Linked DNA regions of Oryzias latipes. Each later gene encodes a partner of the first gene's protein in a complex. Links are inferred from orthologs where the notes say so. Each region holds a gene or a part of one and is shown in the gene's direction. Other genes may lie near its edges.

The links.
Region 2: the proteins of gpaa1 (region 1) and pigu are in contact, whole or in part, in a cryo-EM structure (PDB 8IMX), measured with the Homo sapiens proteins. The link is inferred for Oryzias latipes from reciprocal best matches to the Homo sapiens genes GPAA1 and PIGU. Residues at the interface, in NP_003792.1 of Homo sapiens: Gln245, Leu310, Arg311, Arg313, Phe358, Leu359, Ile371, Ala389, Leu390, Trp393, His397, Leu500, Ile504, Leu508, Cys512, Leu515, Thr516; in NP_536724.1 of Homo sapiens: Tyr349, Ile355, Phe356, Cys360, Ile363, Val364, Leu367, Leu368, Val371, Leu372, Leu375, Ile377, Tyr378, Ala379, Gly380, Ser381, Phe386.

Annotation. Positions count from the first base shown.
Region 1 is NC_019875.2:26,756,873-26,761,468, reverse strand, and holds the start of gpaa1 (glycosylphosphatidylinositol anchor attachment 1 protein), read left to right. Parts: upstream 1-1,637; 5' UTR 1,638-1,761; intron 1,762-2,956; 5' UTR 2,957-2,987; coding exon 2,988-3,061; intron 3,062-3,141; coding exon 3,142-3,321; intron 3,322-3,416; coding exon 3,417-3,528; intron 3,529-3,643; coding exon 3,644-3,791; intron 3,792-4,291; coding exon 4,292-4,393; intron 4,394-4,586; coding exon 4,587-4,596. Other genes in the region: exosc4 (exosome complex component RRP41), read left to right, coding at 217-423, 509-865. UniProt on the Homo sapiens protein: Component of the glycosylphosphatidylinositol-anchor (GPI-anchor) transamidase (GPI-T) complex that catalyzes the formation of the linkage between a proprotein and a GPI-anchor and participates in GPI anchored protein biosynthesis. Binds GPI-anchor.
Region 2 is NC_019863.2:32,754,956-32,759,313, reverse strand, and holds the start of pigu (phosphatidylinositol glycan anchor biosynthesis class U protein), read left to right. Parts: upstream 1-1,456; 5' UTR 1,457-1,502; coding exon 1,503-1,632; intron 1,633-2,952; coding exon 2,953-3,017; intron 3,018-3,121; coding exon 3,122-3,181; intron 3,182-3,255; coding exon 3,256-3,318; intron 3,319-3,384; coding exon 3,385-3,494; intron 3,495-3,573; coding exon 3,574-3,674; intron 3,675-3,742; coding exon 3,743-3,840; intron 3,841-3,920; coding exon 3,921-4,075; intron 4,076-4,159; coding exon 4,160-4,303; intron 4,304-4,358. Other genes in the region: psmf1 (proteasome inhibitor PI31 subunit), read right to left, coding at 502-630. UniProt on the Homo sapiens protein: Component of the glycosylphosphatidylinositol-anchor (GPI-anchor) transamidase (GPI-T) complex that catalyzes the formation of the linkage between a proprotein and a GPI-anchor and participates in GPI anchored protein biosynthesis.

The DNA of each region.
Region 1 (4,596 bases):
ACATCGATATTTCTGATGGAAAACCTGAGATGTTGTTTTTGCTCATCTGTGCCGTTGACCTCAAACTCTCCCATGTCTGGCGTTTTTATTGTCTGGTTTACCTCTGATGATGGATTAAAAAGCTGTTTTACTCAAAGGACAGATGTATGCCGCCCTGTGAAAAATGTCAGACCTTTTTTATGGTTCTCCTATGCTTACTTCCTGTTTCCCATTCAGATTCGAGGTGCTCGTAGTCGGGCTCTTCATGACAGAGCCATTATCAACTGCCAGTACAGCATGGCCACCTTCAGCACGGCGGAGAGGAAGAGGAGACCGCACGGAGACCGCAAGTCCACAGAAATGAGCCTTCACCTCAAGCAAACGTTTGAAGCTGCCGTGCTGACCCAGCTCTACCCACGCTCCCAGATAGACATCTATGTCAAGGTTGGCCTTAGATTTATAGTATACTGCGCTCTACTTCATAGCATCTGTTTTCGTCATTGTTTTAAGAACGTTTTCATCATTCAAGATTCTTCAGTCCGACGGGGGGAACTACAGCGTTTGTGTGAACGCCGCCACACTGGCAGTGATCGACGCAGGGATACCGATGAGGGACTATGTGTGCGCCTGCACAGTGGGCTTCGTGGATGAAACCTCTCTTGCCGATCTTTGCTACGCAGAGGAGAGCGGAGGAGTGAGCTCTCTGGCTTTGGCGCTTCTGCCCCGCGGAGGGCAGATCGCTCTGGTCCAGATGGATGCCAGACTGCATCAGGATCACCTCGACACTCTGATTGAGGCGGCAATGACCGCTTGTAAAGGTGTGAGCAAAGTCCTGGACCAGGTGGTCAGGCAACATCTCCAAGAAGGTTCTACGCTCAGAGAATAATGGTGAAGGAAAGAGTAAACAAATGGTTTCCTGGGATCAACACTTATTTTGTCGTCATTCTTAACATTTTATTAAGTATATTTGTGCATAAAGAATAAATGTGAATGTATATCGTTTCTTTGTATTTGCATTTGTTTTATTAGCTGAAAACTGACCTGTTTTTGATGCAAAAATCAATGTGATCAACTGAAACAGCAACATCAGCATTTTATATATAAACAGATAATAAAGCTTTGTTTTCAGACTGATACAATAAGAACCTTTATTTTAAACCACACATCCGTAAGAGTAAACAATTTGTGAAAAATTAGATAATTCTTATATCCAATTTATTTAGCTGTGTTGATATCTTACAAATTTTCACCAAAACAATACTTTTTATTCCTGAATGAAATGCTCTGTTCATGTGTTTAGTCTTTTTTTTTTAGATTAATTTTCTTTGATTTGTTTTGCAGACAGGCTATTCTGCTTTTGCTTTTGTTTGTTGTAAAAGTAATTTTTATGTCACAATACAATACATGTTTTGTAAGAGTTTCAGTCCGTTGAGGCTGAATAATCTATCATTTTCTTTACCTGCTGAAACAAAATTGGTATTAATGTAACTTACTTTTTAAAGTAACTTTTCTTACATAAATCTTTATTAGAATTATTGCATATTAAAGTACATTTTCACTGATTATTACAAAAAGATGCGTGACTAAGTTTAAATAATCACATTTTACACCACCTCTGGAATATTTTGATAAATAGAGATGTATTTCATTTTTGACCGGATATGCATTTTTCAGACCGGAAGTTGGTCCACAGAATTAACGTTCCCGCGGGAACAAGGAAACAAAATACTTCAGCAGCCCTGGTGTGGAAGCGTCGCCTCTGCAAGTGTGACTAGGTTTGAGGTACATTTTTTTACGTCTTAAATATATCACATTTATAAACAACGTTTACACTTTTGACGGATGGTATATATTTTTAAATACTAACGATGCTGTTCTGTCGAAGCTAGCAGCATTAAGCTAACCATCATTCATGAAGTTGAATGAAACGACGAGAGTCAGAAGACATTATGTTAATATTTGTAGTTATAATTATTTTTATCACGACCACACCAGCTAAAAAAAAGTCTAAATGATTCTAAAACGGTTGTATTTTTCTCTGCGTGGTGGTACAAGCTCATGGATTCGTCCAAAAATCAGTGCAGGAGTTAGTGAGAGTGAATCCCAACATGCTCCTCTGTCTAAAGTAGCTTTCTTCAATGTCTGGTTCCGAGCTAAAAGTGACGTCTAATGAAATATGACTGAAGGGCTGTTTCTCCTATAGGAAAAAACAGTAATAGTTAAGTTAGAAATCATCATCATAAAGTCATATCAGATTTCAGATTAAGACCACAACTAAATAATATCTACATAATCAATCAAATATTGAGATTCGGAGATCCCATGTCCAGATTTTAGAGTTTTCATTTCGTGCAGGCTGGATGACTGAAACATGCTCCTCTTGAAAAATAAGTAAAGACAACAAAGCTGCAGCTCATTCAGAACTTTGCTGTCAGAGCCAGGAGAACCGACCACATCACTGCGGTTCTCAGGTTTTTATGCTGGCTAAAAGTCAGAAAAAGGAATGGATTTCGATTTATAGCCTCTGCTACTGCCTAACTATGTAGCCACAGAGGCAGCCCAACGGGTCCCCCTGTCACTGTCCCTAGCCTGGTTAAATATAGGTTGTGTCGCGTAAAAATCCGCCCAAACCACCTCTGTGAAAACAGCACAAGCTGTTTTGCTGTGGCGACCCTTGAAGAAATTTGCTGAAAGGTGAACAAAACTGTATGTATAGCCACTTAAACACCTATCAGATCTATTTATTGTCAAATACGCAATAATTGTTAACATGTGGCACAGATGAAATGAATATAATTTGGGATTTTAACTTATTATTTTGATTCTTGAATCTTCCCTGTATTATCAAAGCTCTTGCATTTCTTGAAACCCTTTGAACGGCCTTTGTGTTCATCATTTGAGAGCTCTTCATTTGCATTATCAAGGTCTGGAGGTCTGTCTGTTAGTGGTCTGTACCTTTTCTGCCTTCTGGTTCCAGTAGATCCACATATCCAGGATAACGAGACGACATGGGGCTGCTGTCTGACCCCAATAGAAGGCAGGCTTTGATCAAACTGCTGACCCGCCTCAATGCTCCAATCTGGTGAGTTGTGTTATTTTTCCATTGCTCCTCTCATACTGAGTGTTAGAATGTTTTAAATTCTCCACGCCTGTCCTCGTCAGCTTCGTCTGCTACTTTGCGGGTGTTGCTTGGTTCATGGGTCTGGCGTTTGAGCCGTTCACCCTGCGGACCTACATGTCAGAGAACGCCATGGGATCCACCATGGTGGAGGAGCGCTTCCCTGCAGGCGAGAGAGCGCTGGCTACAGGCCGAGAGTTTGCTGCTCACAAGAAGAAAGTCGGGTAAAATGATTGTATCAATACAGAAATGAGTTTTTTTCCCCCTACAAAATCTCCCCTTAAGCTTAACTAAGCTGTTCCTCTTGGCTTCTCGTCAGTGGGATGCCGGTGGACTGGCTGGTGAAAACCATGCAGGCTCGAGGGCTGGAGGTTTTCACGCAGAGCTTCTCTCGCACGCTGCCTTTTCCCGATGAAAACACTGAAAGATACGTACGTTTCTGTTGAATTTATGTTTAAATCTTCCAGTTTGGTTGTGTTTTTAGTGTTCAGATGACAACATACCCATTTTCTGAGTATATATGTCTTTTTTTTTTCTTCCTTGCAGGTTGTAAAAGGTACAAATGTTTATGGGATTCTCCGAGCACCTCGAGCTCCGCGGACCGAAGCGCTGGTGCTCAGTGCTCCCTGCACTCCAGGTGATAACAACAACCAGGCTGTGGGACTGCTGCTCGGTTTGGCCCATTACTTCCGGAGTGAGTACTTCATCGACACAGATCAGACGAAAGAGTCGCTCTTTTTTGTCTAAATCAGTGTTTTTCAACCTTTTTGAGCCAAGGCACACTTTATTCTGGACAAAAATCCCGCAGCACACCAGCATCCAAAAATGAAAAAAGGAGAAACATATATAGATGTACAGTCCCTCTGCAATCTCGCATGCATTTTTGTGATATGTGTGGCAGAAAAAGCTGGAAGTTGCTGCTGTTTTTTTCTAAAAGATGTAATAAAAGTTAAGTTAGCTTTCAGTAATAATTTTCAACTAAATTATTTGACATTTTTCCCTGGTAGTTGTTTTTTCCTCCAGTCTATTAACATGCAATTTTATGTAACCTAACATAAAACCTATCCTGGAGATGGTAAATGTTTTTAGATGAGTGAATGGGTAATTTCCCACGGCACACTGGTTGAAAAACTCTGGTCTAAATGACCTCCATCTGAGATGAAACTTCTCAATAATTTCTCCTCTTTCTAACAGATCAGGTTTACTGGGCCAAAGATATCATCTTTCTGGTGAATGAGCATGATCTGATTGGGATGCAGGCCTGGCTGGAGGGATACCATCACACCAATGTCACAGGTGAGCGCTATCTATAAAGTAACTTCAGTAGTGCTTTCATGACGCTCAGGATGCCTTACAGGCCCCAAATGCAACACAAAAATAGAAAATTAAATGAACTGTTTAACATAATTGTGCCGCCTTCTCGCTGACCTGTGTTTCAAACAGCAAGGCTTTAGGTCTCATAGAAGTTCTTGTTGATTTGTCGGCGTAGGCATGGACTG
Region 2 (4,358 bases), on another chromosome or scaffold:
GGGGCGGGGGGGGGGGGTGAGACACCCTCTCTTTCAAACGCTTCTGTGCCCCCCCCCCCGCGCTAAAGATGACGTGACACTTTTTGCGGAAAGTCCATTTGTTTAGTATGAGACCAAATGGCGCGTGCCAACTGCACGAGACTAAAAATCGGACTAAAACATGACTCAATGCAGAACTTTAGGAGGTCAAAGGTCACCTAGATGGAGGAAGAAGAACCAACTCAGCGGAGGTTTCCTCTGAATCGCCTGCAGGACAGTTTCAGTTTCCATCCTGATCCTCCTGCTAATGTAGCAAAGCTAACATTTATTCCCACAGACTGAGAGTTTAAATCAAAACTGTAACTCAGAGGGACTTCAGAGGCTGTCAACAAACTACGATCTAAAAGTAAACAAACAGCATTAACTTGGTTCGTCTCGTATCTTAAATGTGTTTAAATAAAACCAGAATGTGTTGTTGGTTTGTCTCTTCTGGTTCTGCTTAAGTTAGCTAGTTCGACCCACCTCGTCTCCGGAACCGATGCACCGGTATCCTCCCTTGATCATTTCCCAGTGAACGAAACACACGAGGGCGTCCTGAGGACAAGTCAGGCTACCTGTGACGCAGGTGTACAACACCTCCAAGCCTGCCATGTTGTCTCACAAACCAACAGCACAGAACAAGAACAGAAAACAAAAATCGCAGAGTCGTCGCTTCCATAACAACCACAGCGACTTCCTGCAGGGATTTTCAAAGTAAAAGCACGTGGCTTTTAGAGGATTGCAGAAAACACATACGACACGCTAAAATAGTATTGTAGACGTGATACAGTCACAATTTAGTAATCAGATATTTTTAAAACGAACAACGATAATCTACTTCAACGTGACGCTAACACAGGCCCACAAAAGCGTTAATTTTATTTTATTTTTAAATACGCCCCCGGAAACAGTAAAATAGTTTATTCCAACTAGACGGCGAGTTGCAGTTTTGTTTTGATCCGTCACATAAATCTTTCGACTGAAAACACGCAAATGACAAAACATTCCGCATTCCGGGGTGATTAAAGAAAAACGCCTGTAATATGTGCTATATTATTGTTTAAAATTACAGCGTCTTTATGTATATTCAGCATATGCAAAATTAGAACTAACAACAAGATCATATGAAAACTCCTCTGTTGAGATTAAACTCCTTTTCAAGTTGTTTAAAATGTGTTTATTTACCTTTACACATAAAATTAAATACAATATTTGATTAAAACAAAATTCTAATCTTGATTTTAATTGCTTGAATTATGCGTTTTAAATAGTCTTTTTGTAAATATGTTCCTTTATTATTATTATTATTATTATTATTATTATTATTATTATTATTATTATTATTATTATTAAACTCGCTCCTTATCGCTGCTTGGACTGTAAATCTGTGGAGGTTGGAGGTAAATGTTTTCCTGACGAGACGGAATAAACTTGACTTCCCAGCATGCACCTCGAGCGCAGGGCGAGAGAGCTTCCTCGCGAAGATGGCGGCTCCCTTGACGCTCCTAATGATTGTCGCCGTGACGGTCCGTGCCGTTCTATTCCGGTCCAGTTTGGCGGAGCTGATTTCAGAGAGGGTGGAGGTGGTGTCACCGATTACTGCCTGGAAAAGAGGTGAGCGGGCCGCCGGCGGGGGTCCGGAGCGCACCGGTCACACACGCCTCGCACCCGCGCGCCTCCCCGCTGCGCCGGTAAACCGGTTCGGCGACAAAATCTGTCACAAAAGAAATCTGTAAATGTTTGGAGAATGGTCGACGAAGGTGAAACGGTGTCAGACTCGGACTCTGATCCGATTTTTGGTCCCCAAAAAAACCCCGAACTGAAGGAACTCATCTCTGATTATTATCATCGATTGTTACTCGTACAAGTAATCTATTACATTTGAATATGACACTGTCAGAGCTGTAACGCCTTCATTAACTGAAAGTGACTTCAGTCAAAGTAACGACAGGAGGTTCTGCAGAGGAGCTGTTGGGTTGTCCTGCAGGTTCTGATGGATGAAGAACATGTTTGGGTTCATCCATGTTCCTGATCATCTGATCTGTTGTCAGATTGTTCCCGGTCGTTTGTTTCTGATGATGATGCCGTTTTTAGCCCAAAATCCTGTCTTTTTCTAGGACATAGTTTCTGCAGAGCAGCTGGAGTTCAGTAGAAATCCACCTCTCCTCTGAGTTGCCTGTTGGCATGGAGCAACCCCGCCCCCCTTGCCCTCCCCTTTGCTGAGAGCTCTCTGTTTCCACGCTCTCCCGCTAACATTAGCGCAGCTGTCCAGCCGCTCAGTTCTGATCCAGATTGCAGGAAGACAAAGACGTTCATGGGTCTCTCTACCTGTCTGCAGGTGGATGCATCAGAAAGGGGCGGAGCTGGGAGTTTGTGGCCCCGCCCAGGATATTTTTTGTCGACATCACAAATAGGATGTTTTTCAAACGGCATAGTTTCGTCTGCTCCTCATTCACAACGATTTGAATAAAGAAAAACTCAGAAATGCAACTTGAAGCTTCATTTTCTTCATATTTGTCCCCATCATCAGAAAAATGCCACCAGAACGCTTCGTTTTTCTGATGCATCTCTGCAGCTCTAAACAGGTTTTCCCTGATTCACGACGAGAGGAAATGTGGAACATTTAACCAAATCTGATCTGTGAACTCAGCACGGCAGAAAACAGACCATAATATTCAGTCACAGCAGCCAACGGGACGTATTTAGCAGGCAGAGAGGGTAGCATTCCTAGTGTGCTGTGGATGCGGTCTGACTTTACAAAAGGACGGGGACGTCAACCGTTCAGGAGGTTGGAGGCGGAGCCTGCTGCTCAAACAGACAATAGTCTAAATGTTTTGTGGGTTCTGAGGTTTGGATCCTTTTCTGATGAATCTTCCTGATCATGAACCTACCGCCTCAGACTGAGGACTCTGTTGTGGTGTGGTTGTGTTGCAGTGATCGAGGGTCTGGCTCTGCTTGACCTGGGAGTGTCTCCGTACTCTGGAGATGTTTTCCACGAGGTGAGTCACAAACCAAAACACCTGAAGGTGACACCTTCGTCCGACCTGAACGTGGGAAACGGCGGACGCTCAGGCCGGACCTCACCACATGTGTTTGTCCGCAGACTCCGCTCATCATCTACCTCTTCCACTTCCTGGTGGATTATGCAGAGATCACCTTCATGGTGAGTCCCTAAAGGAGGTTCTGGACGTCAGGAGGTTTGTGGCGGATGTGTGGAGCTCTGCTTTGTGTCCTCAGCTGGCAGACGTGGTGACGGCCGCGGCGCTGTACGCAGCAGCCAAGGATTACAACAAACAAGTGGTGAGAAAGCTGCAGAACCTCTGCACGTAGATCTGCTCTCACCCAGACTCTGTCGTGTTTTTACAGTTCAGAAAACAGAAGTTTGCGTTGGAGGCGGACCGCTACCCCCCGGACTGTCTGGAGCTCATCAGGACCCCCTTAGAGATGCACTACGTCCCCCTGAAAGTGGCCATGTTGTGAGTCCTCCTCAGAGCTCCGCCCCCCTCCGCTCTCTGGGCGGAACCAGCAGAAGCTTCAGCTCTTCTTCTCCCGCAGTTACCTGCTGAACCCGTTCACCATCTTGTCCTGCGTCGCCAAGTCCACCTGCGGCCTGAACAACATGGTCATCTCTCTCTTCATCCTCTGCACGGTCAAAGGTCGGCCCTCAGACTCCGGCTGGACCCCTTGTTTGGCGCCTGGACCTCTGACCTTCTCTGCGTTTCAGGAAACGTGCTGCTGAGCGCCATCTTCCTGTGTCTGGCCACCTATCAGTCCGTCTACCCTCTGACCCTGTGCGCTCCTGCAATGCTCTACCTGATGCAGGTGCGTCTCCTCCCAGTGACGGGAGCGTCCCGGCGCTCTCCTGGTCTCTGACTCCCGTCTCCCTGCGTCTGCTCCTGCAGCGTCAGTACATCCCGGTCAACCTCCGGCGCGTCAGCTTCTGGTGGTTTGTGGTTCAATACCTCTTCATGTACCTGGGCAGCCTGTTCGTCCTGGTCTGCCTGTCCTTCTTCCTGCTGGGCTCCTGGGACTACATGCCGTCCGTCTACGGCTTCATGTGAGTGAGGATGAGGAGGAGTGAAGGGTTTTAGAGATGGTTTCTCCCCCGTGTGATGGATGTTTCCTGCTGGTTTCCCTGCAGCCTCTCCGTTCCTGACCTGACCCCCAACATCGGCCTCTTCTGGTATTTCTTTGCCGAAATGTTTGAACATTTCCGCCTCTTCTTCCTCTGCGTCTTCCAGATCAACGTCTTCTTCTATACCATCCCTCTGTCCATCAAACTCAAGTAAGTGGGTCTGATGCGGTCGCTGCAGAGCTTTTCTCTGCTCCGGTTCTTCAGC